Coturnix japonica: one gene and its partners. The protein of the gene in region 7 purifies or fractionates together with the protein of the main gene of each other region. This does not show direct contact. Links are inferred from orthologs where the notes say so. Each region holds a gene or a part of one and is shown on either strand. Other genes may lie near its edges.

What was found.
Region 1: the proteins of DYRK1A (region 7) and SEC16A purify together in Homo sapiens (affinity purification with mass spectrometry, with the first as the bait; 3 studies listed by BioGRID). This does not show direct contact. The link is inferred for Coturnix japonica from reciprocal best matches to the Homo sapiens genes DYRK1A and SEC16A.
Region 2: the proteins of DYRK1A (region 7) and CDC27 purify together in Homo sapiens (affinity purification with mass spectrometry; 3 studies listed by BioGRID and IntAct, with this or other methods). This does not show direct contact. The link is inferred for Coturnix japonica from reciprocal best matches to the Homo sapiens genes DYRK1A and CDC27.
Region 3: the proteins of DYRK1A (region 7) and GLCCI1 purify together in Homo sapiens (affinity purification with mass spectrometry; 8 studies listed by BioGRID and IntAct, with this or other methods). This does not show direct contact. The link is inferred for Coturnix japonica from reciprocal best matches to the Homo sapiens genes DYRK1A and GLCCI1.
Region 4: the proteins of DYRK1A (region 7) and LZTS2 purify together in Homo sapiens (affinity purification with mass spectrometry; 8 studies listed by BioGRID and IntAct, counting the BioPlex papers as one, with this or other methods). This does not show direct contact. The link is inferred for Coturnix japonica from reciprocal best matches to the Homo sapiens genes DYRK1A and LZTS2.
Region 5: the proteins of DYRK1A (region 7) and FAM117A purify together in Homo sapiens (affinity purification with mass spectrometry; 4 studies listed by BioGRID and IntAct, with this or other methods). This does not show direct contact. The link is inferred for Coturnix japonica from reciprocal best matches to the Homo sapiens genes DYRK1A and FAM117A.
Region 6: the proteins of DYRK1A (region 7) and PRKAR1A purify together in Homo sapiens (affinity purification with mass spectrometry; 6 studies listed by BioGRID and IntAct, with this or other methods). This does not show direct contact. The link is inferred for Coturnix japonica from reciprocal best matches to the Homo sapiens genes DYRK1A and PRKAR1A.

Annotation. Positions count from the first base shown.
Region 1 is NC_029532.1:6,356,439-6,360,419, reverse strand, and holds part of SEC16A (protein transport protein Sec16A), read right to left. Parts: coding exon 3,826-3,981; intron 3,524-3,825; coding exon 3,426-3,523; intron 2,959-3,425; coding exon 2,877-2,958; intron 2,690-2,876; coding exon 2,572-2,689; intron 2,346-2,571; coding exon 2,234-2,345; intron 1,957-2,233; coding exon 1,851-1,956; intron 1,630-1,850; coding exon 1,489-1,629; intron 1,337-1,488; coding exon 1,223-1,336; intron 595-1,222; coding exon 390-594; intron 224-389; coding exon 1-223. UniProt on the Homo sapiens protein: Acts as a molecular scaffold that plays a key role in the organization of the endoplasmic reticulum exit sites (ERES), also known as transitional endoplasmic reticulum (tER).
Region 2 is NC_029542.1:2,302,489-2,306,233, reverse strand, and holds part of CDC27 (cell division cycle protein 27 homolog), read right to left. Parts: coding exon 3,650-3,745; intron 3,020-3,649; coding exon 2,867-3,019; intron 2,081-2,866; coding exon 1,872-2,080; intron 1,662-1,871; coding exon 1,544-1,661; intron 1,171-1,543; coding exon 1,042-1,170; intron 567-1,041; coding exon 492-566; intron 1-491. UniProt on the Homo sapiens protein: Component of the anaphase promoting complex/cyclosome (APC/C), a cell cycle-regulated E3 ubiquitin ligase that controls progression through mitosis and the G1 phase of the cell cycle.
Region 3 is NC_029517.1:22,767,486-22,770,369, forward strand, and holds part of GLCCI1 (glucocorticoid-induced transcript 1 protein), read left to right. Parts: intron 1-1,396; coding exon 1,397-1,517; coding exon of another isoform or gene 1,518-1,521; exon of another isoform or gene 1,522-2,609; coding exon 2,610-2,884.
Region 4 is NC_029521.1:20,199,334-20,204,035, forward strand, and holds the start of LZTS2 (leucine zipper putative tumor suppressor 2), read right to left. Parts: upstream 3,209-4,702; 5' UTR 2,989-3,208; intron 2,900-2,988; exon of another isoform or gene 2,807-2,899; intron 2,252-2,806; 5' UTR 2,213-2,251; coding exon 1,781-2,212; intron 1,391-1,780; coding exon 821-1,390; intron 621-820; coding exon 351-620; intron 261-350; coding exon 1-260. Other genes in the region: TWNK (twinkle protein, mitochondrial), read right to left, coding at 4,091-4,351, 4,591-4,702. UniProt on the Homo sapiens protein: Negative regulator of katanin-mediated microtubule severing and release from the centrosome. Required for central spindle formation and the completion of cytokinesis.
Region 5 is NC_029542.1:2,730,629-2,733,962, forward strand, and holds part of FAM117A (protein FAM117A), read left to right. Parts: intron 1-1,625; coding exon 1,626-1,721; intron 1,722-2,094; coding exon 2,095-2,208; intron 2,209-2,526; coding exon 2,527-2,661; intron 2,662-2,977; coding exon 2,978-3,200; intron 3,201-3,334.
Region 6 is NC_029533.1:6,401,976-6,406,510, reverse strand, and holds the start of PRKAR1A (cAMP-dependent protein kinase type I-alpha regulatory subunit), read left to right. Parts: upstream 1-1,421; 5' UTR 1,422-1,542; intron 1,543-2,250; 5' UTR 2,251-2,314; intron 2,315-3,412; 5' UTR 3,413-3,414; coding exon 3,415-3,591; intron 3,592-4,535. UniProt on the Homo sapiens protein: Regulatory subunit of the cAMP-dependent protein kinases involved in cAMP signaling in cells.
Region 7 is NC_029516.1:96,407,296-96,412,071, forward strand, and holds the start of DYRK1A (dual specificity tyrosine-phosphorylation-regulated kinase 1A), read left to right. Parts: upstream 1-1,686; 5' UTR 1,687-1,793; intron 1,794-4,776. UniProt on the Homo sapiens protein: Dual-specificity kinase which possesses both serine/threonine and tyrosine kinase activities. Exhibits a substrate preference for proline at position P+1 and arginine at position P-3.

The DNA of each region.
Region 1 (3,981 bases), on a different chromosome or scaffold from region 7:
TCCCGTGGTTCAGATTCTTGTGGTGGCCCTCCTGGTGGTAGCATTGACCCTAAATACAATGGTGATGGCTCAGCTCCATACTGACTTGAAAATCCTGGAGGTGCAAAGCCAGGTCCTGGACCAATAGGCTGGGAAGCCACAGGGTAGAAAGGGACACTTTGGACAGCTTCCTGGTCACTAGGTGGAATCCCAGCAGCTGACCCATCAAGTATAGCTTGAGGAGCTGGGGTACAAAAAGGTTAAGAATTACAACTAAACAGAGCCTTTCAATGCGTGAATAACATCATACAATGCAGAAGTGAAGTCTCACTGTTTCTACAGTGCTTTTAAGGAGCTCCTCATATTAGAAACACAAAATATCTATTTCATTCTTTGCCATAAGAACTGACCTGAAGGCATCAGCTGCACGCTTTGCATCTGTTGAGCCATATTGGGCAATAAGGATGCTAACAATGCATTTTCAGGGCCTGGACCCACATCATGGCCAACTCCTGCTCCATCATATTGACTGGTATGGTCTAATTCAGAGCTTGGTGTGCTGCATGGGTACTGTTGTGGCGTGGATCTGTCTGTGCTATAAGCTATTGCACCCTCCTGCAGACACACAGAAAAATAAGATCTTATTAGTTCTACCTGATGTTGAGTTCATAACCAAGGGGAACATATAGAAGAAGAAATCCTAAAAGCAACAGCTATACTGTTTACACTCTTAACTGTTGAGTCAAAAAAACAGCTGTCATCCACTTGTAAATCAAATTCAATCAAAACACTTAGGTCTTTGTTTTTAAGAAGCATAGTTAATGAGCTCAATTCTCATACTGCTGGTGGAACTCTCTACATAAATAAATGTTAAATTTAGCTATACTAATCCACAATAAAATTCTTTGTGCAATTATGTTTGTTTCATTGTTTTTCTAACCAACAAACAGAAGGAGTTACTGCAATCTAACAAACTTTGCAATTTTCCTTACATTACAGCACTAAAAAAGTCTATTTTATGTAATGTAATTACCTTTTAAGGTACTAAATCTTAAGGCACTGAACTATATTAAATCCTCTTGGTTTAAGTTATAATACTTGTATTTCACAATATAATATTTCACGATGTCATCACACACAAGCATGAAGTTTTTGTATTTATCAATATGAGCAAAATAACTTAAAATTGGTTTTCTTTAATCCTTAGAAGGGAAAATTTCATGTTAGAAAGTACATTTTGTACCTTAATCTGTCCATCCACATGTCGAAGCCTCACTAACCATGAAGGTTCAACAAAGGTTTCCTGGTCTGGTTTCTCTTTTATCTGGGGATCAAACAGGCGCAGCTGCGATGACATCTAGAGAAAGGAAGCACTATAAAGTTAACCAGCCAAACAAGGTAACCTTACCCACAGCTTACCCCCTACAATATAAAGCTACTAATTCACAATATAAAGCTACTAATATACAATATAAAGCTACTAATTCTAATAGTTCTTCCCTATGTTACCTGGATCAGCTGGCCAATAAGTACAGGTGAATAGTACTGTGGATCTTTAAGTACAGTCCTGGAAATCACTTCACAGTAATGGAAAGCCTGAGCAGCAAGTCCCATTTCAGCCAGTCGGCAAGCATAGATGAACTTGAAAACCTACAGAACACAGGCAAAATAAACCAAGTGGTCAGAACATTCCTGGAAGCATCAGATGGAAAAATGAATACTGATTGATGAAACGGGGAAAAAGCTGCCCTGCACTCTTGTTCATGAATATTTCATGTTGCAAGAGATAGAAAATATTTTGTACGTTGAAGCACATATGAGAGATTAACGTATCACAAAAATCTGAGAAGACAGAATGAACAGGTCTTCACCTGGAAATTAGGCAAGCAGCCAGGCTGAGTTCCTAGTGACTGTGCATATTCATAGGCTTCCGTTCTTTGAATAGCTTCATTGGTGGCAAACTTCAAAAATGGCAAGCTATTGAGGAATGGGAGAAGAAAAATATTACCCAGCTTTAGGAATATAAGCATTATCAATAGATTCAGATCTGTCTACTATAGATAAAGCCAGAAATATTGTTCTATTAGACAGTACAAGCAACTTCAGGTCCTCAAACAACTACAACAGGGCATCAGACAGTTCTCAAAGCCAGCTGTTGCTAGTGATGATGAGGGGCGCAATGCAACTCTCTCTTATCTATTAACCTTTCTGTTTTGCATCAAAGAAGTGATGTTTTAAGAAGGGAAATCCAAACCTGTGATTTGATCCAATTAGGACAAGCTTTGTCGTCTTCCTTGTGTAAACTCCAAAACCAACTTGGGCCATAAGGTAACAAAAGTGAGCAGCATCCAGCAGGCCTTTAGAAGCTGCAGAAAAATAAGCAATAGAACTCAGAATATTCTGTCTTGATGGCACGTATTGCTTAGCCTTGCATTCAAATAGCTTCACAATACAGACAAGCCCATACAGAACTGTCACACTTTACATTTTACAAAGCAATTGTTTGTTAAAAGATTTTTTAAAAGCTGAGTAATCAAATTGTTTCAAGAGACTTTTCCTTCAGTCATCCTCATTTAATTCCTAAAGACTTACCAAGAGTGTCTCCCATGGTAGCAATGGTCCTGGATTCCAAGTCCACATTATTAGTCAAGTTGGATAACACCATTGCTAGATGTGGCCTCCAGTCTCCCCATTTCTCATCTCCACAGCACTAAAATTAGAAGAATTAATTAGAGAAATCAGCGGCAGGAGCTCTGCACATTTAAGTGTTAAAACCTAGAAAGGACTAAAAATGTATCTGACCTAAAGAAAGCACATGGAAGGTTTACTGTTATTAACTATACTGCTCATTGCAGTATCTCTTTAAGACTCAATTGCAGCTCACACTGGAACCTTACCGTGGACGCAGCTGGCATCCTTCCAGACATGAGCTGATAAACAGTCTGCAGAGGGTCATTAATTGGGAGACTGTTGGCGAATCTAGAGAGACATGATACAGAAAAACAAGAAATAAACGTTGGGTAAGGAATTAAAGTACACTGAACATTCAGTCACTGGTAATCTTGCTTAGTTTAAGAAAACTAAGTGCAGTTCAAAAATACACTAAATAAGCTATTGCACAGAGGATAACAACCAAGAGAAAACCATCATTAATTACTTGGATCTGCTAATGTGACATACATCAATCCCACGCCCATGGATGACAGGGATCAAATATCCCTTGAATTAACTTCTCCAATTTAATTTTACTACCTCAAGACCTCAGACAAGAGAATGCAGCAGACTACAGGCTTCAGCTGAATACCCAGATAAAACTAAAGCATCAACCTTGCATAAGGTGATATGGATAACTTGTGATTTTAACATCAAGATTTCTGGAGCACCAGATCTCTTGTAGTCAGAACAGGTAACCATGCCATACTAACAAACAACAAACAAAGATGTACCTGGTCATAACTCTTGCATGCGTTCTATTGTCCATCTTGCTGGCAAGTAGCAGAGCATGACCCCATAAGCCATGCTTCATGGCTGATTCCAGAGCATCCTAAGTTAATACAGAAATTAGTTTCCTGGGGATAGCTTAATATTTAACTCACATAATCAGTGATCACTTCACAGTAGTATTTCAACCCAAGAAATGTTTCATTAGATTACATGCTAACTTAAGAATACAACTTCATTTTATAAACTACAGAACACAATTTCTCCATCAATATACTGCAGCATCATGAATTATTATATGCACTGCAAGCAGCAAAAAGAGTTTTCACTGATGCTCAGAGCTTTCAGATTTCTTGAAAAACAAAACATTCACACGGTATTTGGAACTACAGCATCAACACTCACCTTCTTGCGTCCATAAAGCAGCAACTCTCTGAATCTCTCTGTTTCTTTCTCCAGACTGTCAATTGTGGTTATAAGACTATCAGTGAGAAATGAGAGCTGGGCTTCACCAGATTCCTCCTCTACTTGTTCCAAAGCCTCATTAGTGAAATCAATTAA
Region 2 (3,745 bases), on a different chromosome or scaffold from region 7:
CACAGACACTTACTCAGCACTTCTGATGCAATATTAATACATTTATACATTTGAGCATGGTTCAACACTTTCACATCTCCAGGCCCAAATAACCAACACAGATGACTGATAGTCAGCCTAGCCCTGAAAGCTGTTCTAACTACTGCAACCTCTTTGCAGTTAAAGATCTCAATAAAGATCCATTTCTTGCTTTCTAAAATGAATTCCTCTGAGACAACAGATGTAAAAGAAGACAACAGGAGCTTGGGTTATCTTTTCTTGGGTGGTTATAAAAATAGCTTGAGGTTGCTCCAGTCTTTTAAGGCTGAAAGCTGTTACGTTGGAGAGCTGTGAGATTATATGCAGCAAGTCTTATTGAAGGCTCTGTGAATTTTACAATGCTGCCCCAAATGTAAACAGCTTGGCAACAGGCTTCAAGTTTCCTCATTAAGCAGACGTTTCTGCAATGAAGGAAAACAAAGTGCTTACAAACACAGTGAAATTTCACCTACCTTTCCTATTAAGAAGTAAACAAGAGACTCTTTGGGAACAATCTGCTTCAGTTCTTCAAGTTCTTGCAAAGCAGACTGAAAAGGAAGAAAAAAAATAAGCACAAGCTGGCAACCAGCAGCCAGTTATTGCATTGCTGAACTGCAACTCAGAGCTGATGCAAACCTCGCAACTGACATACAGCACACTCCACCACAAACAACAGTACGGCCTCATCAGAAGCACCTCAAGTTTCTTTTACATTAGTTTCTCCTTTAATGGCTATAGAATGTTATGGCCCAATTATTACAAGCACAGAATAAATACGCTGGGCTTTGGTCTCCTATAATAACATCTAATTTTTTTTCTCCTGCTCACAGGTATCCTCTGCTTTTGACTTTTAATCTCCTGCTCAGTGAAGGTGGCACTTCTTGAAACAAATGCTTTATTAGCTGCTCTGCCTCAGGCTCTTCCTACTCATGCTTCAAGCCTTAATGCTTATCACTGCATCCCCATCCGCTGCTGTAGCAAGTAACAGATAATCTAAGGTTGTCTACGTGCATCAAATCTTACCTTGTATTTCTCATTTGCAAACAGTACAGAAGCTCTATGGAATTTGCATAGTGGGTTCTTGGGGTCGATGTTAATTGCTTTGTTTAGAGTATCCAAAGCCTTTTCAGATTTTTTCAGTGCGTGTTGGACCTGTAACAGAACAGGAATAAAATCTCAAAAGGGGAAAAGAATAAAGTAAATTTGACTGGTGCTGCTACGTTTACTTACAACCTGTTCCTACTGAGTCTTAAAGAAACCAAGCTTTCTCACAGGTAAGCCTATGCTATCAGGTTGAGTCAGTAAGCCATTTCAACACTGGCTAAAAGCAACTGGGGGGAGGGAGAAAAGAGGATTTATTTTCTGACACAATCCCACGGTTATTCATTCATGCAATAAGATCCTCTAATAGATCCTCTGAACTTTGTTTTGTTTGTTTTTGCACTTCAAGTTCAGGAAGGTTGCAGGTAAAGGGCAGAGGCAAATCAGAACATAACAAGGAGAGAGCTGAGCGCAATCTACTTACTACTCCAATGTGACACAGTAAGACTGAGCTCTGAGGATTGATATCAAGTGCTTTCTGGAAATGCATTTCTGCTAAACTGAATTTCTCCTGTTTGTAATAAATCATTCCCAACCCATACCTGCAAAAAGGAAAAACAGTTCCATTAATAAGAGTGCATCTTAAATAAACTAATTGTCATCAGCAAATATGGACTGGTAGAAGTGGCACATATTTAGAAATGACTCAATGACAGAAAAGTCTCACAAAATTCACAGCAGCGTTTGCAGCTTATTCCTCCCAAAGGTGCTCCATATCACATACAGCAGAAGGGGGATGAAGCAAGACTTACCATGCATTGTAGTGCCTGGAGTTGACTCTGATTGCATTCCTAAAACAAGCTAATGCCTTGTCTAGCTCTTCTGTTAACACAAATTCATGCCCCAAAAGGGTGTAGGCGTAAGCATAGTTTGGATCAACTTGAATGGCTCTCTGGAAGAACTTGATTGCAATGTCATGCTCTCGTTGCAAGCTGAAGCAGTTCCCTGCAGCACACCATGCCTAATAAAAAACAGCATTCTAAGTTAGAAGTGTCATTTCACAACCTGCAGAATGACCAAGTCTGAGCTAAACAGATCTTCTGTCACTGATCTATGCAATTATGTCACTTGCTACTAGATTATAAACAACAGTTTTAACAGTACTGACCAGTTGCTTCACTAAGTCCTCCTTCCTCTAGTACAAAATAGAATGACCTGAATAGGTTCATCTCCAGCAGAAAATCCCAACAGACTCCACAGCTTCCCCCACTCTGTCAAGAGCAGATTTATATCCCCTCCACACACATACATACTTATTATTGGGGCACATGTCAGCTTGCTTGCATGTCATGTGCATGTTATAATACCAGCTCAACGGACTTCAGCATAAAAATATTTTCAAGCAGCGTTGTACAAGTTGTGCAGGAAATATGAGTGCCAGTGAATTACAGCAGTTAGAAGATAATATGAGAAAAAACATCCCTTATCTTTACATGTGGGCATCAGCAGGGACAATTGATCAACCCATGATCTTCCTGGATTAACAATGTCAATACAGATTCAAATCACCATTAATAGATTAAAGGTTCACAACGTGTCCCATATAAGCTGATATTCTAACGCCAAGCAGCCATTTCAGGCATCATCAGCTCAACAGGCAAATCCTGCCACCTCCCTCTCCAGTTTCACCTCATATTTCTCAAGTGAGAATGAAATCCTAATCCAGCTCCAGTCCAAGTTCTGTTCCCTGTCACTGTCTGTGCCGCACACAGTTACTCATCTCACTGAGCACCACAGCATTTTGTACCTCTGGTGAGTTTTTATCCATGTCTGTTAAATCCTTTGAAAGAACTGACAGAGCAACATCTTTCTGCAGATGCCACAGCGTAGTTGAATAGATCTCCATGCCTTCTACTCTGTAGTTTTCAATCCTCCTCACTTCTGAAAATATCCTTTCAGCCTAAGAAAGGAAATGAGAAATCAAACAACAGCAATTCCACCCACTCAAACAGAGCACACAGATCAAAGTTAGAAGCCTCATATGTCCAGAATGAGAATTCTTTGCTATGCAAACATGAGGCAGAGCTACAAGTCCTGTTGTATTTTTATCTTCCCCACCAAAGGAAATGACTGCACTCCAATACAGTTAGACCAAGCAGAATTCCAGCTGCCCTCCCTGCTTGTGACTCCTGCAGGAAACAAGCACAACAACTGTCAGGGCAACAGAGAGAATAAGAGCTGAACGGCTGGATTCATCTTAGCTGCTTTTTTCTGTTGTGAAGCAGTTTGCTATCACCTCAGCTGCAAAGGGAACCAGGTCATCAATGGATCTCCATTAACTAAATAAGGGGGGGGAGAAGAACACCTGGTTTTGGAACCTGAATTGTTTCAGTGATTATTTACAGCACTGCAGTACAAACAGCTGCATCAGCCCAAGTGAGGGTGAAGATGGAGAAAGGCAAAGGGAGACTCCCAGGACTGGATGCAAGAGGAAGTAACTTCAGCATTAAAAGAAATCTGAAGCACAACTCAACTTCAGGAAACAACGACTGCTGACACAGACTCAAAACCAACCACAGGCAGTTCCTACCTGCATGTATTCTGCAAGTTCAAAGTAAGCTCTCCCAATCTGGCACAGCACCCAGCCAGTGTTGTAGTGGTGAGATGGCAAATGGCTTAAAATATT
Region 3 (2,884 bases), on a different chromosome or scaffold from region 7:
GATTTGTGTCTCGTAAAGGAAGCGCTGATGGTTCAAAACCTCTAACGATTAGCCTCTGTATTTGAGTCACGCTTATACAAATGTTTATGTGGTTACCATTTGCAGATTCTTAAAGAAAGCCTTATATGTTTCAGCGAATCTAGATTGTAATGCCTGAAGCTTTGGTTGGTTTTCCAATGGTGCTGAAAAGGCACATTTGAACAGCAGCAGAATAAACAAAGGTATCAGAGTTAAAAAGAATAAGGTACCCCAAACTGGTGGAAACACTTGAAAGTAGGAGCCATCATTTCACTGATTCTGCTTGTAAGTTGGTGAATTCTCCTTAAGCTTGCCTTTTTGTTTTTTTATTTTTATTTTATTTTTTTTTTTTTTTAATTGTAAGCCCAAACATAGAACAGGAGCCACTTGTGTTGGCTCTTTGAGAAAGTAGAATCCTCTGCAGAAGGGTCAATTTCTGTGAGTAACCATTTTTGTACCTACTTTATTTTCTTAATGCATTCAGTGTTGACGTTGTCAAGATGAAGGAAAAGGTGGTTCGCCACTTTCTGCTTAAGGCGAACCCTGTCGTAGTCTTAACTTTTCAAACTTCTGTTCTTGTGACTTCACCAGAGTTGAGTCTTATCTCTCAGAGATTTGGCAGGAAGTGCAGAAATCTGCCTGCTGTGAAGTCTGTCCTGTGTTCTGGATGTGTGTGTCTTTAGTTCCAAGTGTGCCTAGTAATGATCTGCAAAACACAAAAGTGTCTGCAGTCATAAAGAATAGCTGGGTTGTATAGTTAGCGATGATGAGAGGGTGGAGTTGTGGAGGTTTAATTTTGGATATTAAGAGAACTAAACTGTAAAGCAAATGAGGTGGGACATTGTAATGACTACATACCAGTACCTGTATTAAAAATGTGCTTTGTTTCTTTGCAAATTCTGAGCTAATAGTGAAACTAATGCGGTCAGCATTCCTGCCAAAAATTGTTTTAAAGTAAGATAGATGCTGTATGCACAGGTTTTCAGTAACTGCTTGTACAGTGAGAAGGCATTATCATTACCACTTGTAACTCTCCTCATGTGTAATGCATATTACTGTGTTAATTTATATTTTTTGAAATACATAATTAAGAGCCAATTTGATTCCAGGATCACTTTGTGCCAGTTGCGGTGTTCTGGATAAAAATATCCTCCTGTTACGTGTCGTTATGTGATTACTGCTGCACTGAAGCTTTTATTCGGAAGAAATGTGCTATGCAAGGGTGTTCGAAATTGCCTGTGATAAAGGAATCGTTGTGGTAGAAGCAAACCAGCATAGCGGCTGAACTGTGAAAAAGGCATCTTGTTTGGAAATCAAACTTAATAAAAAAAAAACAACACTCTCAATCTCTAGTAATATAACTGCTTTAAATTTTCAGACAGTGGGAGTAGCTCACCGTTGCCCAAGTATGCCTCATCTCCCAAACCAAACAACAGCTACATGTTCAAACGGGAACCCCCAGAGGGATGTGAGAAAGTGAAAGTCTTTGAGGAAAGCTTGTAAGTAATGCCTTTTATATCAGCTGGTATCTGCAAAGCAGTAAACCTGTTTACTGAGCCCATTCAACTGCAGATGAATAAACTATTCCAGCTGATGAGTTTTTCAGGAGCAAACTATCCTTAGTTTGTACAGAAGAGAAGTTGAAGTGTTCATGTTGGTTTGAAGAGGAAATGGAGTCTTTTATGCTTGAACTCTTTTTGTGTATTTATAAAAAGGCAAGAAAAATCCAAGCGGAAAAGATAAGGTACATTTAATTTCCTAAGCGTTTATAAACCTCACTTTCATATGCTTGTATTAACTTTTGTAAATGTTCCTTGTTTGACACAAAAACTCTCCTTGCCAGAATTTTTATCAGTTTTGAGCATAGGTTGCATTCATATACCCTATGGTTACAATTGTGTTTAAAACACATAAAATGACTTGAAATCTATATATTATAAAGAGTTTTTAGATGGTTGTATACTTAATGACATAGACTTCGCTCAATAGTTTTGCTGTTGAGCAGGAAATCAGAAATTAAACTCTTAGACATGGTGTCCTTTTCCATAGACTCAGCAGTATTAGAACATATGCTGTCAAAGTTGCATGCTTAGCTCCTGTGGAAGAAAAGAATGAAGGAGGGGGATGGTTCTTGCTCTAACGGCATTCATTGCCCAATGGATGGTGAAGGAGCAATGCTGGGTTGTGGAGGAAGCCTCTGAGCAGATTACAGAATATGGGAAAGGAGAGGTCAATTTCACGGAGTTCCTTAAAGATTTGATGTGACTACACGTGTTGTTTCTGCAGTGCTATTGTTAAAGAAGACTTTGTGTCGTTCTAAATTACCATGGCATTTTTTCATGTGCATATGTATTGCAGATTTTTCTCTCTGGAAAGGTGCATGTTTATCCAGTAACGATGTCATTTTTGTGATGGCACTGTTTTTAATGCTGTGGATCAGTTAGCTGACTACCAATATGGAAGATGTTTGCCCCTCTGTCCAGTTAATCCCATTCCTTGTCATTCACATTTTAGCAACCTGTAGAACCACAAAGTTCACAACATACAAACATCTCAGTCGGACGAGTATATAATCTTTTTTCTTGTTGTAGGTCTCGTCAGCCTGTCTCAACCCCTCTCTTTTCATGTCCTGACAAAAACAAGGTTAATTTCATCCCAACCGGATCAGCTTTCTGTCCTGTAAAACTTCTGGGCCCCCTACTTCCCGCTTCAGACCTGACACTGAAGAACTCTCCAAACTCCGGACAAAGCACAGCTTTGAGCAGCCTGACTGTTGAGCAGCTTTCGTCTCGGGTCTCTTTCTCATCTCTGTCGGATGACACCAGCACAATGGACTCTACAGAGGTCTTGGTACAGCAACCATCCC
Region 4 (4,702 bases), on a different chromosome or scaffold from region 7:
CGGCCCGCTTTGGCACGGAACAGGTCAGCCTCGCTCTTGCGTCGCTGCAGTTCATTGGCGCACACCTCCAGCTCCAGTGCCTTCAGCCGGGCGGCCTCCTGCAGCCCCCGTGCCTGCTGCTCACCTGCCTGCAGCTCGGCCCGCGCCTCGCGCAGCTGCGCTCGCAGCACCAGCAGTTCCGTACCGCGCTGCGCCAGTTCTGCCTGCGACTCCTTCAGCTGCTGCTTCAGCAGGGAGATCTCACCCGACTTCTGGCACACCTGTGGACAGCAGATGCTCAGGCACCGGCCACGGCCCCACCCTGGCCCCCGAGTGACAGGGACACCACGGTTGTTCCCAGCATAGCTCACCTCCCACTTGGTCTCCTCCAGCCGTGGCCCCAGCTCAGTGTGCTCCCGCTGGAAGGATGCGCAGCGACGCTCCAGCAGCTCCCGCTCCTGCAGCAGCTGAGCAAAGTCCTCCTGCAGTTGCTTCTTCTCCTGCTGCAGCTGCAGCACCTGGAGCTGCAGGACCTGCTGCCCACGCTGCGCCTGCTGGGCCGCCTGTCGCACCTGGGCCGCACAGCGCTGCCGCAAACCCTCCAGCTCCTGCTCACAGCGACGCTGCTTCTCTTCATACACCTGGGCACAGGCACACGCTGAGATGGGACATCCCACATCCCACACCACCTCCATGTCTCCCCAAGTCAGCATCTACAATCTCCATGGGGTTCCCCAGACACATCACTGCATGCATAACCCAAATCTACACAATAGGACTATATGGGCACCCCCAGCCCTGAGAGCTCCCCTGGTTCTCCTTACCCTTATATGGTTCTTACCTGGCAGATGGCCACCTCATTCTCATCCAGGCTGTCCCGCAGCTGCTGCAGCTCGGCCTCCCTCTCCCGCAGCTTGTCCTCCAGTTCACGCACCAGCAGAACCTCCTCACCAGGCAGCGGCGAGCGCCCGCAGGAGCCACTCTCGGAGGAGGGCCGGCCCCGGCCACTCAGCGAGCCCGTGCTTTTGCTGGAGGATGAGCGCCCACTGTCCGAGTTGGAGGGGCCGGCTGGTGGGCGGTAGCCACCTGGGGGCTCAGGGTGGCTGTGAGGGGTGGCTGTGAGGTTGCCAGGCTCAGTATGTTGGCTGCAGCCTGTGCTGTAGGTGGGCAGGCTGGACAGAGAGTTGCGTCCCGAGTCTGAGAGCGTGCCTGAGTGGCTGCTGGTGCGGCAGCTCAGTGAGCCAGGCTTGTCGGCCCCGGTGGTCCCCAGCAGGTGGGTGAGGCTCACCTGGCTCTCTGATAATGCTGCAGCCCCTGGACGTACCCCTTGGCTGGCCGGGCCCGGAGCAGCCCTGACTTTGGGTACCACCGGTTTGAATGCCATAGGGCGGATCAGGGTCTTCTCCACATTCTGCAAGGCAAAAGAGGAGAGAGTGGGATCTGGGGACCAGGTACACTCCAGAGGTGGCCTGGCAGATGCTGGGGATGCTGCCAGAGCACCAGGGAGGACTTGGTAACCCCACCAATTCTGCTCCCACCCAACACCTCAGAGTGTCACAGCTCTATAGAAGATGACCACTAGGTGCCCTCTGCTCCATGCAGCAGTTTCAGACAGGCTCCCACACACACATGGCCACTCCTGACATGAGGAAGAGGGCAGCAGGAGCACAGAGATCACCACCACCCCCAGCGACATGGACCATGTGCTCTCTCTATGCATGCACCAGCACGTCTCCCCAAGCCCAGCAGCCCCAGTGCAGCACAGGGCTGAGCAGATCCCCCAGCACTGCTTCCACCTTACCTCTTCTAGCTTGCCAGAGACAGGGACAAGCTTGGGGGGCGGCCCCCGGATGCCACCACTTGGGGCTTGTTCATCCCGTGCCTCGTCTGAGTCGCTGCAGGGGCTGACGGGAGAGGCTGCCTCCAGCCACTCCCCATGAAAAACTTCATTGGTGTAGGCATGGGCAGTGGCTGAGCACGGCTTCTTGGGGGGCAAAGTGTGGAGCAGGGGATCCGGGGGGCTGGCTCGCAGCAGCGTATCCTGCACACGGAAGGAACCACCAGCACCAGCAGGCTGGCAGGAGCGATCGTGGCATGGTCGGCTGGCAATCAGGCTGCCCACACTGCCCATGGTGCCGTGGGTGGGCAGGGGGGAGCGGGTGGCAGTGCGGAGCTGGGCAGCAGCCTCAGGCGTGGCCTCGATGGAAACTGGCAGTGTCTGCACAATGGCCATGGCAGGGGGGCCCCCAGCGGGCAGGGGGGCGCAGGCAGCCTGTAAAAGAAAGGCAACGTGAGGCCTTAAGCAATAAACTCACTCACTCATCCCATAGGACACCAATGAATATAGGACCCCCATAATGGCGCAGGCAGATGTGGGATGGCTGCAAGAGATATGCCGGGCATGAGCAGGCGTCGAGCAGAACAGCATAAAGCTGGGATTAGCCGGAGCAGGGGGAGGCACGGGGCATGCAGGGGGCTCACGCAGCACCAGTGCTCCCGTGCAGGGCCCAAAGGAAGAGCCCCACAGGGGCAGCCCCATGCACTCAGCAGGGTCCCCACTGCGTAGCAGTCACGGTGCCTTCTCTGCCCCACTGCTCCCGGTCCTGCACCCCTGCTCTGCCCCACAGCGCTGCCTACACTGCCATACCTCAGCTCCAGCCTCAGAGAGACGCCCCAAACACCTCATCCTGAAGCATCCTCCTCCCCAACCCCCCCAACCCCGGCACCAACATCACCCCGCTCCCCAATCCCGTCCCTACACCCCTCTCTCCCACAGCTCACGGTCCCCACTCCGCCCCCTCCCCCCGCCCTGGAGCTCCACACCGACGCGTCCCCCCGGGCCGAGCCGGACCCACCCGGGCCGGGCCGCCCCATGATGCGCTCGGGCCGCCGCGCTCCGCCCGCCGCGCTGGCACCGCCCCGGGGCCGCCCCCCGCTTCCACCGCCCCCAGCATCACCCCGGGGTGACGCCGGGCCCCCTCTCCCGTTGCGGGTCGCCCCGCTTCTCACCTGGCCGGCCGCGGCCCATCCGTCCGGCGGGTCCCGGCCCGACTCCGCCGCCCCCTGAGCCGGGAAAAGGAAGAGAGAGCGGGGTCAGGGCCGCCCCCCCCCGTCCCTCCTCTCCGTAGCGCCCCACTGTGTCCCCGCGGGTCCCACCGGCCCGTTCCGGCCCAGGCCCGGCCGCCCTCGCTCACGCTCCGCTCCGCACCGCCGCTCTCCGCCGGCCCGGCCCGCGCCAGGCCCCGCCCGCCCCGCCGCCCCCGGCCCCCGGCCCCGCGGCGGATGGGAGGCGGCAGGGGGTTGCCCTACGGCCGGGCCGCGGGGCAGCGACGGCAGCGAAGGGCCCTCAGGGGGCGGCAGGGCCTCAGCCCGCACCACGGCCCCGCAGGCAGCACGGGGGGGGCTGCGTCCCGCTCACCTCCACATCCCCGTCCTCCGCCATGGGCCCGGCTCCCGGCGCGGCGGCCAATGCCTCCTCCCGGCCCCACGCGTGGGAGCCGTGGGGCGCGGTGGCGGGGAGGTGCCCGGTGCTGGGTCAGCGCTGGGGCGGGAGGTGTGTGTGTGCGTGGGGCCATGGGGCCCCGCTGTGCCGTCCTGCCCCACGCACAGCATGGACACGGGGCTGAATGGGACCCAAAGTTGGAGGGATGGGGGATGGGAGCACGGGGACGCTCATGCAGCGAAGGACAAACAGCTTGAACAGCTCTGCTTTAATAAAAGTGTAAAGAAAACAGAGGGATGGGCCAAAAGCCCACGGCGGGCTCCCCTGTGCTGGGGAGGACTGGCTCAGACACAGTGTTTTGCCATGAGAGGCTCCGAGGCGCCCAGGGCTGTGTCCCTGAGGCATTGCTGCTACTGCTGCTGGTGGTACATGTGGCCAGAGGGGCCGGGCTCAGAGCCGGCAGAGCTGCACTAGCACCACACCGTGCGGGAGGTAAACCTGGGCCATCAGCCTCCACTTAGCAACCCTATATTGACCTGCTCAGGGTACAGAGACCCCAAAGCCTGCACATCCACTCCTCTCCCATCTCCCAGCATCGTGCTCTGCTCAGGAGGAGCGCAGCCGCACGGCACCTGGTGTGCCCGAGTACCAAGGTTGTCCCTGCCACACTCAGGGCTTGCCAGAGCCACCCACACCTCCTCCATTGGGACCCTTCTTGGGTGAAGGCGCCTTCTCCTCCTTCACCTTCTTCAGCTTGGCCTTGCTTTTGCCGTAGGAGGAGAAGGTGAGCGAGGCCTTGTTGAATTCCAGCGGGAAGACGCCTACATCGCCATCAAAGCGGTTCTTGGACACCTGCAGGTAGCGCTTCCCGGGACCCGTCGTGAGCTTGCGGTCCTGCAGGATGAGGACGTTGTCGGCCTCCTGGCTGGCCTGGGGGAGGAGAACATCTCCAGGGGGTGCTGCAGGGCACGGGGCACCCCCACACCCAGCGTCCTCCCTGCTACCCCACGGAGCAACTCATGCCACATCCCACCCACAGCTGATGAGCATCAATCAGCCGCGTGCCACCAGATGGCAGGGGACACCCAGCCCCACTGCAGCACAGTTTGGGTCACGGCGACGTGCCAATGTCCCCACCCTGTCCCCGCCTGAGGCCCAGGAGGAGCCACCTTGGCAGAGCCGAAGATGGAGGCGGTCTGCAGCTCCTTCTCGTCGTCCTCCTTGCGCGGGTGGATGACCAGCGTGATGTGGCACGTGTTGTCGGTGGCAAACTTGCGGAAG
Region 5 (3,334 bases), on a different chromosome or scaffold from region 7:
GTCTTCATGAACCTGAAGCTTTTCTCACATCCTGGCCTCATCCAGCAGCTGAAGCTGAGCTTCTCAGCTTTGCCTACAGCAGTAACATGAGATGGAGCTGAGTGTTGCCTCTTAGACTTCTAGCTTTTCCCCCTTACGTACGTGATCTGCTGGGCTGTGAAGTGACACAATGTTCTGGCATAAACACCAAATGCCGTCTGAGTTGTTTAGGAGAGACTATTTGAGGTAGGAAATGAGATCAGATGTGCTGCGTGCTCAGAGTGTGGGGTTGGCCTGAGCTGCAGGGCTTCCTATGGGAGCAGCCTGCTCCTCCACGGGGCGGCTGAGGCTGCTCTGAGCTCAGCAGGACCTCACAGTAATGAGCAGATTGCTTCTGTCAGAGCAAACTGAGCGCTGGGCTCCAATGGAACAGCTGCTGTGCTGCCAGTTCTGCTGGTCCTGTGCATGGAGACCCAGGCAGCACACAGTGTGTTGGGAGCGCTGTGCCCTGCATGGGGGGCTGCAAGGAGGGGCTTCATTAGAGCCCGTGCTTTGGGGCAGGGTTGGATTTCTGTCTGGAGGTCACCTGCATTCAGTTAGCACAGGAAAGCCTGCTACCTCTCCAGGTAACTCGCCTTGTTCCTTTGGTTTAAATCCATTTTGAGGCAAGAGGCTTCTGTCATCCTGCTTTCTGGATGGGGTTGTTGCCAACAGCTGCTGTCCTCGCAGTGGCCTCAGGGGAGATGAGGAGGAGCTGTTCTCAGGCCCTTGCACCTCCAGGCAGCCAGTCCCTGAGGATGGAGGAGGGGAGAGTTCTCCGGAGCCTCCCACAGCACAGCAGGGACACGGGGTGGGTGTTTTGTGAGGGCCTGACATGTGATGTTGGGAAAAAGCAGCCCTGCAGCTGACGTGCCTTGGGAGCGTTGTGATGCTGCAGGGCTGCGATGGGGAGGATTGAGTTGAGTGGAAGGAAGTTCACACCCATCACTGATCAGATCAACCCCTTCTGACTGCCATTGATACTCGTGATGGAGCTGCTGCTTGGAAAACAGCTGTGCAATGCGCTGGGGTTGTTTATTGTGCACCAAGAGCCAGCTGAGAGCTGCCAGCCCTTCAGCCAGGCATGAGCAATGGAAGCAGCTGGGCTCTTCCAGCATTGAGTCTGCTGGCCAAACCCTGCTTTTTGGTTACGCCTTTGAACTGCGATAATGGGAGCCTGAGGTCTCAGCAGCAAACTGTGTGTTCTCACAGCTGGGTGAGGCTTTTCCTCTCTGTAACGTTGCTTTGTACAATGAGTGCCTGAGTCCCTACGTCAGCCTGCTTTGGGCTGCAGGCAGCATTGGGGCGTGAGGAACGATGGCTGTGCTTCACATTGCCAGGTGCCCATGGGGATTGAGGAGCTGCCTCCTGAGCAGCTCTGTTGCCATGCAGGTCCCTGAGGTCCTTTAAGATGCTGTGACAACGTTGGGGTTTGGGGCAGTGCAGGAAGGATGCGACCTCAGTGCATTACTGAGTGATAAGGGGGAAGGCTGGGACAGGGCTGTGAAGGGGCAGCAGTTGGTTGATTTGATTCTTTGGGACTCACCCAGCAGCTTCAGGGCAGTGAATGTTGTGATTGTTCTCAGCAATGTTTCTCCTCGCTTCAGACCCCGGTGTCCTGGCATGACGTGGAAGTGGGGAAAGGCAGCTCCAGTGCTCACAAACGTTCTGCTTCTTGGGGTAGCACAGATCACCGCAGAGAGGTAAAATAGATCACACCCAGCTCCTGAGCAAGGGCTGTGTTAGCTGCTGGTGGGAGTGCTTGTAGGTGGCACAGTGTGCGTGGGCTCCAGCAGGGCCTGGCCCTGATGCTGCAGGTGGAAGATAACCCAGATCCCACCGCAGAATGGGAGCCCTTCCAAGGGGAGGTTTGTGGTGAGGCCTCGTGGGCAGCCCTGGCCCATCCTTGGAGAGGCAGCCGGAGCTGCTTGTTGTACAATTAGAACTGTCTCTATTTTGGCACTTCCTCATGGGTTCAGACAGAGGGGGGGGAGGAGAGAGATGAGACGTGATTATTTGGTTTTGGTGGAGGTGTGTTGGGTTGCTTCATTCTGACGCTGAAACTTTCTTTGCTAGATTGCCAAACTGAAGCAGCAGCTCCAACGAACGAAGCTGAATGGCAGAAGTGGCAAAGAAAAGGAGAAGAGCTCCCCGCTGCAGGGGGACCACGCTGTTCTCACATCGCTCCGGGTAGGTTCACATCTCCCTCTGCTGTTGTCCCTGCTCCTCCCAGTGAGGAGGAGTGTAAACTTGGGCCTGCTGACATCCCAGCCGCTCTCAGACATCTGCTCAGTGTCTGAGGAAGGGGAGTGGTTTTTTCTTCCCCCCCTTTTGCTGCTTCAGCAGATCCCCATGCTCCAGACGGGTGGGTTTATGTGGCTCTTGTGCCAGTCTTTGCCAGTCAACCTCCCAGCAGGCTCTGGCTGAGCACTGTGGCATCAGAATGGGATGAGAAATGGCTGAGTCTGTGCTGTCATAACTAACATCTTCGTCTCTGGGTTGTTGCAGGACTCTCCTTCAGGCTTCCTTTCTTCGTCTCCTGTTTTGAGGCTCAGTCCTTGCTTGCACAGGAGTCTGGAAGGGCTGAACCAGGAACTGGAGGAAGTGTTTGTGAAGGAACAGGGAGATGAGGAGCTTTTGAGGGTGAGTGAAGGTTGTAGGATCACCCTGAATCTCCTGTGTGGTCTCAGAAATGCTTTCCTCTCATGACGTTCACTGCCCATATCTGCTTCTTGGCCATGAGAGTGGTCTCTGTGTCCAGTTTTGTTCTAGGCATGTAGCTGCCTGAAGCTTCTTACAGGGGATGCAGAAGGGTCTGTGTCCTTCTGCTCTGGTTGTGGCTGAGCCTCTGCTGGGAGCCAGTAGAACGCTGTAGGAGTGGCTGTTTCTTCACCTTTTCTCCAGTAAAAGAGGTGAGTTTCTCCTTGTTCTCCTGAAACTTTGCTTCTTTCTTTCCTAGATCTTGGATGTCCCAGACGGCCACAGAGCACCAGCACCTGCACAGAGAGGCTCTGGAGATGCCTCCCTGATCCTGGAGCCCAGCAGTGGCAGCTGCAGCAGCCTCTCGCTTTCTCCTTCCCCTTCTGTGCCTCTCCACCTTTCTCCACACACCCCAGTGAGACTGGTGGCAGAAGAGCTCTCCTCTGCTGTAGATGAGGTGCAGCTGGATTCAAAAGAGAAAGGCAAGTGCTGAGCCCAGGGGCTGGGGATTCTGGGGGGGAAGGGGGGATGAGGAGGCTGTGTGGTGGATTGGAAGCTACAGATGAGGAGGTGGGAGGGGGATCTCAGCCACTTTCAGTCGTGGTGGACTTCCTAA
Region 6 (4,535 bases), on a different chromosome or scaffold from region 7:
CACATTTACAACACTTATGTGATTTAACACATAGATCTGGGAGATGGGGTGCCACTGTGGCTTATCTTCTCTTCCTCAGCCTCACTGCCCCACTGTCAGACCGACAAATTTATTGGTCTTTTATGAGACCAAGAATATGTATCCTAATTAATGCAGAATGGAGGTAAACAACATGGTTAGGAATGATGATGTGCCGCTCTCACTCCGTCAGTGAAGGAACTGCAGTGACCTTGCAGAAGGCTGCTGGTTTTAATCATGATAATTGTGCAGCTGACACCCTTGTTATGAAGACGAAGCAGAAGTGGGTGACTGCATGAACCAAAGAGCAAAGGAGCGGTCACACAGCTCCAGGTTCTCCAAGGTACTGGGTAACCAGCTCCTCTAAATTCACAAGGCCTTCAATATCTTTGTATGTTTCAGGCCATGGATTCCCTCACATCCACAATGTCTGTCCTCCAACTCTTGCCTTAAGAGAGCATGGAAAGTGATAGTAACTACTGTTTGAAGCCACATGTAGGTTTGACATAACTACTGACTCCTGTGAATGCCAACCAAGGATGAATGTAGCCTAAGTTTCCCCCATGGTTTGCTGGCTCCATCACTCCCTTAGCAGTCTGGGCAGCTCTTCTCTGCTCTTCAGCAGCCACAGCCTCACACAATTGTCTCATGAGAAACTCTTAATGCATGAAAGTGTGAACTGAAAGCTGTGGGAACAAGCGCTGATGGTAATGCAAGTTATTTACTCCAGAATACTCATTATTTAATTAGACACTTAACACCAGGGTTTCACTGCAATCCAGACCAGACTCAACGGCAAAGCCTTTTGTTTGTCATTCCTTTCTTTTTAACACATGAATACATACAAATCTATGCTTATGAGGAGCATGATTTCACTTTGCAGGGTAGTTCTATGCTCTCACAGCGAAGGATTTACACAAAATTAATGAGAGAAACCTCATGTTAGCACTACAAGGCTCCTTTTAAAGCCTGTTTTGCTCCCTTTATTACACCGCTGCATTGCCATATGAACTCCTGCTCAGCAGAGGGTTGCATCAAGATGAAGCCATACAACAAACTTGTTTTCCTGATGCTGTAGAACAGGTTTTACATACACACACACACACAGAGCTTTGTTCCAGCTGGGACAAGGCACCAAGGCTTGTCCCAACAGCGCTCCATAAGCATTATCGGGCCCTCACCATTCACATTGGGATACATTCAGTGTTTAACAGCTTGCATGGGGTACCCAAACCCAACCCCAGGCCGCCCCATAGTGACACAGACCTCCCCCCCATTAGCAGCGCGTCTTAAAGGCGCAGCATCACTCAACCAACACCGCATCACCGAGCTTACTAAAGAGCGCTGCGGTCCCTTTAAGGTTACCTCGACGACGGCTCCGGGTGAGAGCGAGGCTCATTGACGTCACGCCGCTCTCTGATTGGTCCAACCCGTCCATTTCCGGTGGGAGCCGCCGCCGTTGCTGTCGCTGAGGCCGAGGCGGGGCAGTGGGCGCTGAGGGCCCGAGGAAGGCGGCCGCTCCAGGTGAGCGCTGGGTGCGGCCTGTGAGGAACAACAACCGGGAATGGCCGCTGTGTGGTGGGGCTGAACGGGAAGCTCGAGGCCTTTAGGGTGGGCCTGGCTGCGGGGGAGCAGCGCCGGGGCCGGTACCGGAGCCTGACTGGGCCCCAAGGCTTGTAGGCCCTAAGGTTGTAGGCCTTAAGGCTGTAGGCCCCAGGGCTGTAGGCCTTAATGCTGTAGGCCTTAAGGTTGTAGGCCTCGAGTTGAGAGGCTGCGTTGTGGCCTTGCGGGTTCAGGCAATAGAAACGAAAGCTGCGGGGTGGGGCCTGGGGATGGGGTGGCTATCGGGCTCTATGAGCACCTAAAGGCCGTCCCCTCCCCACTCCCATTGCGGTCCCTGTTTCCCTGGGGTTCATTATTAGCGCTGACCTTCACCACGCTGTTATCAAAGCAAAAGGAGCATTAGGAGAAGGGAAATGCTCCTTTAGTCGTTTCGAGTCTGTACTTAATGTCTATGCGGTGTGTAATGTGTCTGCCCGGGGTTGGCTGTAACATTTGCAGCTCTGTGTTAGCTCTGTGCCTCCTGTAATGCCTGGCAGGACGATTCCATTGGGTACAGTGTTATATCACCTGTTATCTGCTGCCTGTAAAGCACGATGTGGCAGCTCAGTGACATGACATTTCAATATTGCTTCATCTGAATCCTTTTCTTTCTCTCTTCTCTTTCTAAAGCTGATCCTGAGATCAACACTTCTCACTGAACAGTCCTAAGCTGTTGCCGCTGTCTCTGTGCCAGGTAACTTTCTTTATATGTCATCAAAAATACCTTGAGAAATCATTTCCTCTTTCTTTAACTGTCTTATGGGGAAAAAAAACCAAACAACTCAACATTGATTTTATAAACATATACATAAATGAATAAATAAATTAGCATAATTTTATAACGTGAAGTATAAAAAAGAATAGACTTAATGGTATTTTTTTCAAAGTCTTGTGGCTTGCTCTGTGATTTCAAAATCTCTTTAAAGCCTGACAGTGTGATGGGTCTGTTTAAGGGTCCCCTCCTGATAATCCACAGCTGAAGAAATATTTTTGGGGATGGAGGTGTATTCACGGAGGTAGTTATGAAGTGTGGAATGATTTAAACTAAGGAGCTTCTATAAGAGGAATGCTTCTAATTCCCCAGTTGTCATTGATGGGCATTTGTTGAGCTGGCTTTGATTTGACCTTAGCACATCTCACTTCTGGATACCTGTAGTGTTTGTGTCTCAGATTCCTGGTTTCCACCCACCAGTCTCCTGTTCATCACCACCTGACCCCTGGTTTTAACTGGGGTAATGTTAATCTTCACAGTAGCTGATAAGGTGCAATGTTTTGGGTCTGGGAGGAGAGCAGTACTGATAGCACACCAGTGTTACAGCCATTACTGAGCAGTGCTTACACTAAGCAAAGGCTGTTTCAGCTTCTTGCACTGCCAAGCCACTAAGGGGCTGGGATGGGACAGAACCAGAACAGCTGCCCCACCTGGTTGAAATGGTTCTGTACCATGTGTTGTCGTACTCAGCAATAAAACTGGGGGACTCGGCTGGGGGGGGACAGCTGCTGCTTGGGGACAGACTGGGCATCGTACAGCAGGCTGTGAGCAATTGCAGTGTGCATCATTTGTTTTATTTTTTCTTTTTTTTTTGTTTGCTCTGTTCCTCCCCTCCTCATAGTTTCTTCTTTCACACTTTAGCTTTGTTACTGATCTTAGATATGAAGATGACTTTATCCAGTGATGTCAGTCAGATGATAATGCAGCATGATTTTCCTTTAGGCGATATAACGTGTCTGACTATATTGGGCTGCACCATCTTTTCTGCTAGTTCTTTAACTTTCTCTTTCTCATTTTCAGCAATGGCAACTTCCAGCAGCAGCAGCAGTGAGGAGGAACGTAGTCTTCGGGAATGTGAACTTTATGTCCAAAAACACAACATCCAACAGCTTCTGAAGGATTGCATTGTGCAGCTGTGCACCGTGAGACCTGAGCGACCCATGGGATTCCTCAGAGAATACTTTGAAAGATTGGAGAAGGTAAAAATTCCTTTCTGGGAGAGAAGGAGAGTGGAACAGCCAAAATTTGCACTGTTTAACTTGATTTAATGGCTGAGCTTCCAGTTTGGCCCATGTTTGTATTGGCTGTTTGGAACTGGGCCTGATGCTTTTGGAGGATGAATGGTATTTTCTGTAGTTTTTGCTAGTGGCTTGTGGTATGAAAGCACCTCTTGCTTTGTTGTGACAGAAGTAAACTGACAAGGACACTTACCCACCTGGGATTCACGTGTGATCCTAGTCTAGTGTTTGCTCATAGAAACTGATAGATAGGACACGTGATCCTGTCTGTGGTCAGTTGGTAAATGTGCTGTGTGACCCTGGTAGCTGCTGGTGATACACATTTGGTTTCTTCTGTTGAGGCAAATTGATTGCAAAGATTCAGGTATAGAACAGCAGCAGGCCAGTGTGGTAGTTAGCCCGGCCTAGCTGAAATCAAATGAAAGCACTTATTTTCCTGATTTCTAAGAGAACAAGCCTGTTTCTTCATTCTGTTGGGAACTGAGTGTTACTGTTTTGCTTTTTGTTCCTCTCATTTGTCCTGAAGGTCTCTTCAGTGTTCTTGTTGAAAACCTTGTGATCTTTGGAATGAAAAGCGTTTTCATTTCAGTGCTCATATTTGAATCAATTTAACGCTGATTTGAACAGTTAATTGAATATAACTATAGCTTAAGCTGATAGAGAATAATCTGCTATGAAAACATGAGTTTTTAAGGGTGAATGCAGAAGAAAGATTAGCTGTAACCACTGCACTCAGCACAGGTCGTTAGTAATTACTGTAGCTGTGACCTTGTACAGCAGTCATTTGCAGGTGCTGCTTTAGCTTCCCATCTTACGTGGAAACTATATCTTTGTCTTTTTTCAGGCTCCTAATAATCCTTCATCCCCACCTTTTACTGTATCAGCTTTCCCACCTTGTATTCTTG
Region 7 (4,776 bases):
TAACACTTGGTTGCTGTTACACCTATCTGCCTGTCTTTGGCTATTTATTGCCACTGTCTTTGCTGCAAGAAAAAAGTTAAGGTGGGAATAAAAGCTAAAGGAACAGGTATCAGGAACGTGTCCTCATTTCCTCAAGGAGGCTGCCTGGGAGCTAAAAAGCACCATCGCAGGTTAGGACTAAAAAGTAAGATAAAGGCCATCCTCTACTTCCTGATCTTTGCGAGCATTCCAGAAACTAACGAAAAACCAACAAACCAAACTCCAGTGCACTCCAGCTCATAGGGAAGCAGCAATCCCTCAGGAACCTCCCTTCACAGAGCTCACCACAGCACCAGCTTCTCGATGCCTTATAAATGAGCGGAACGGGTCATTCTTAAAGCGGGAAGGAGCTCTGCCCGCCCGAGCCCCCATACACCCGCCGGGGGGCGACACAACCCGCGCCCCCTCCGCGCTGCCGGCGCCCCCTGCAGGCCGGGGAGGCGACACCGTCGTGGCGGGCAGCGTCCCCGCCTCTCCCTCCCTCCCTTCCTCACGCCCCGGAGCCCGGCGAGCCGAGTCCATCCCAGCCGGCAGCGTCGCGGCCCGCACGGCTACAGCGTCACAGCGTCACCGAGGGGAGGCGGGGAAGCAGCGGTTGCCGGGCTACGGCAGCCCGGCCCTTTACCCGTCGCTCTCTCCCTCCCTCCCCACGTCAGCGCCGTCTCCCTCCCGCTCGCCCGGGCGGGGTGGGGCAGCAGGGCGCCCTGACGGACAGTTGCCACAGCGACGAGCTCGCCCCGCCGCCATTTTGTCGGTTCGCCTTTTTTTTTTAACCTACCCCTTCCACCCACCCCCCCAAAAAAAAACCAAAAACCCCCAAACAAAAAAACCCAAACCCTTTCCCGCCCGAACCGTGGTGGCGGTTTTCTTTTAATTTATTCGCTTATTTTCCCCTTCCCCGCTTCCACTCCGAAAGACAAGAAAACAGAAGAACACCTTCAATTTTATATATGTATATATATATGTATATATCCAAAAAGGGCAATAATTCGTCCCCGAGGGTCTGCCGGAAATCCACCCCGCGCTGCGGAGCGCTGTGAGGGAGCGGTGCCGGCGCAGAGCCGCTCCGGGAGGGAGGAGGAGGAGCGGGTGGGGTGGGAGGAGGTAGAGGCTGGCAGGCGGGGGAGGGAGGGAGGAGGGAGCGAGGAGTTCCCGGGGGCTCGGTACAGCGCTGCGCTTTCCCCCCACCCCCTCCTTCTCCACCACCTCCTCCTCTTCCCCCTCCCCCCGCCCGCTCTCGCCGCCCGCCCGCCGCTGTCCCCGCGCTGCCAGGCCGGGGCTCAGGCCGCCGTCGACCGCCGCACCTCACCGAGCCGAGGCGAGGCCGGGCCCCGCCGTTGCCGCCGCCGGGCGCTGCGCAGGTTTGGAACGCGCGCCATTTTGTGAGCGATAGAAAATCCAGCCCGGCCAGGAAGCGCCGCGGATCCGCCCGCCGGGCCGGGCCGGGCCCCCCCCACCTCTCCCCGCCGCCCGGAGAAGAAGGCGCGCAGCGGGCAGACCCTGCCATCGGCACCGGCACCGCCGCCGGCCGAGCGGGCCCGAGCGCGGCGGGGCGGCCGGCCGGACTGCGGAGCGCGCAAGAGGGAGGCGCCGCCGCGCCGGGGCCCCGGGCCGAGGCCGGGGGAAGAAGAAGAAGAAGCGCTCGCTCCTCGCTCTGCCCGCCGCACCAGCAGGAGAGGAAAGGAAAGGAGAGGAAAGGAGGAGAGGAGAGGCCGCTGCCGGGAGGAGCCGGGCCGGAGCGCGGGGCTCGTACGGTGAGTGAGCCGGCGGCGGGGCGCTGCGCAGCGGGACCGGCGGGTGCCACCTCCCGGCCCGGCGCGGTCGAAGGGGGCGCAGCGCAGGGGGCAGCGGCGCTGCCATCTTAGAGAGAGGCGGCGGGGAGAGCGCGGGGCCCGGCGGGCCGCTGCCCGGCGCTGGCGGGGCGCGGAGCCGCTGCGGGCTTCGGGGCTGCCCTTCCCCGCCCTCTCGTCCGCCGCCCCCTAATGGGACAGGCCGGGGCAGCGACTGCGGCCTCTGCGGCCCTTTTCTCGTCGGTGTCCGGGAGAGGCTACCGGGATGCGAGCGAGCCGGGCCCCGGGAGCGGGGATGAAGGAAGGGAGTTCGCCCGGTTCTTCTCGCTCTGATGCGCAACGCCCTGCGGTGGGCGGGAGCGGGGTCTCGGCCCGGCCTGGGAGCGGGGAGACGAGGGTGGCAGGAGCGGGGCCGTCAGCGCGGCGGGCACCTGTTGTGGTGGCTCTGCCCGCACCTTCTGCGGGGGTCGGGGGGAGTTGGGGCCGGGGCAGGAGTACCTGAAGGAGGCTGCTGTCATCGGGCTGCGCTGGGGAGAGCGGGGAGCGGCGGCCGAGCAGCGCACCGGGACCTGCGGGGTGTCAGTAGCTGGCTGCAGCCCGCTAGGAATGGAGCTTTGTGCTGCTGGAGGTGCCAGAGACCTCCTGTGATGTGTGGGGTTCTTTTTTCCTCCGTTGTGGTGTTCCCTCCCGTTGCCACAAAATCGGAAAACACAATTAGAACTGCTGTAATTTGGAATTTCGAAATTGGTGCATTTTTGAGTTTCGATCAGCTTTGAAGTTTAGAGTTTAGTCTGCCCAAAGGCCATGTAGGGGTCCTTTGATCATGTGTCTAGATTGCTGCTGTTACTTAGTTCTCCTGTTACTCCACAGCCATCGGTGGAAATAAACATTCATTGTTCTTTAAAATTAAAATTAACAAAGGCAGAATATCTGGCTATGAAATAAATCGACAGGAATGTCTTGGACAACCTACTGTTGTAGTCCCAATGGGAGCGTGCAGGTAACTTTTGCCAGTAGGTGCACACAGTGGCTTTTACGTGGCTTTCAGCGTCGTAGGGGATCTGGATAAGTGAACAGCTCGTTTTCTTATTATATTGGTAGAGCTGAAGAATTTATCAGTAATGTTTGAGGATGAATAAAGTGATGTTTTGTTTGTAGCGGTACTTTATTATCTGTGAGTAACTGAGTAGAGTGTAACTTACCACACTGGAATAACGTAGCCTGAAGAAGTTTTGGTAGAACTTGTTTCTCCTTATCTGTACTCCCCCCAGCATCTGTAGGTTGGGTATTTTTGGAAAATTAATTATACTTTATAGAATTAGAATGCTAACGCTGAAGATAACTGTGAACACGAGCTAGTATTTCTATTATCTACTTGTATCTTGTGAACTCTGTGTGTGTGTATGTGTAGGCTACTTTTGTAGGCTGTGCTTAATGTTTTTCGCTTATACAAAATATTTAGAATCAAAGCCTTTTCATTCATGGTCAGTAGTAGAGTTCGTATGTTGGATTTACATTTGTTCTACGAATTAAAAATTGAATAAAAGTTTATGAAGCTTATGGAGTTTCAATCGTATTTCCTAAACGTTTTTGACTGAGCTGTCCAATAGCACAGTCTTCTTAAATCACAAAAGGATGCAGCCCATTCTCTTAAGTTGTTGTGTATGCACACATTGGGTTCTTTAATATTGTTTACAGGCCAGTAGGTGAGAAAGTTTGTTGCCATATTCCAGTTCCTGTATCAATACTCAGGTGTATTTGGAGTTTGCCATTGGAATCCCTTCCCCCACTGTTGGACAGTTACGGAGAAGCAGCGAGAAGGATAATTTTACCTAATAGCAGCCAAGTGGTCTCTATTTCAGTGTCAGTTTATGGATAGTGTGATCTTCCTTGTGTCAAATAAGGATGTAGTAATCAGGAATTTATCAATTTTTAAAGCACGTGGGCTGTGAACGGACTAGGAGTGAGCATATGATGGTCGTAAATAACTTCCTACACACTGGTAGATGGTTTATGCAATGGAGAAAAACATGACTGGCATCAAGTAAAAACTTAGGTTTTAACATTGTGTTTAAATAGGACGTAGCTGCTAGCATGTATGTCACAGCTTGATTCCAGCAGGGCCTTGGAAAGAAATGGGTCTGGGTTAACTATATCGTTAGGCTTTGCCTTAATGAATTTACTGGGAGTTTTTGTTAGTTCAAGTAAGTTAGCCAGTGCTTTACCAAGTGTGAAAGTCCTGAATAGGTTATGCTAATGTGTATGAAACACCTGCTTGTGTGGTTGTGTGCAAGAAGACCAGTTAATAAAACTCACCAAGAACTATTCCTTGTTTGCTGTGATGGCGTTTTATAGTTTTATCTGAACTGAAATGGGTGGTGACTCTCAGCAAAGAAGCAAGTTCTGTTGCTATAATTAGATTCTCTATTCAGTGTTCCTCTTGAAGTGGCTTTATTTCAGGTGCTTTCCAACCTGCAGTCCCGTAGTTGGGGTTAAAGTTGTTCCAGCTGATGTTCTTGGTTAGTCTACCTGCAGTCATTTTTATTGCCATTTGGCCAACTGTTTTCTAAAGTGAAGTCAAAAGTTTTCTTGATACCTTTGTTTTATGGAAGCATGGAAACCTTGTATCACTACTGAAATCCTTTTGTAAATAGATCTCGTTGTAGAATAGGATTATTTACAGAGATTTACTGCTTTTGTCTTTATAACTGAGTACAGTAGATTATTTGTTAACTTGCTTTACGATTTCATTTCTTTTCCTTTTCTAGCAAGAGTTTAGGAAACTTTTTTCCCCTCCCAATATGTAGTAACAGTTCCACTAATTAGACTTGACTGATTAGTGGGACTTCTTTTTTGATCTGAGACTATCCAACACGTCTTGCCTTGTAAACTCAAGACTGGTGAAGAAAGTCAAGAATACTTTGGAAAGAGGAATGCTCTCATTTTC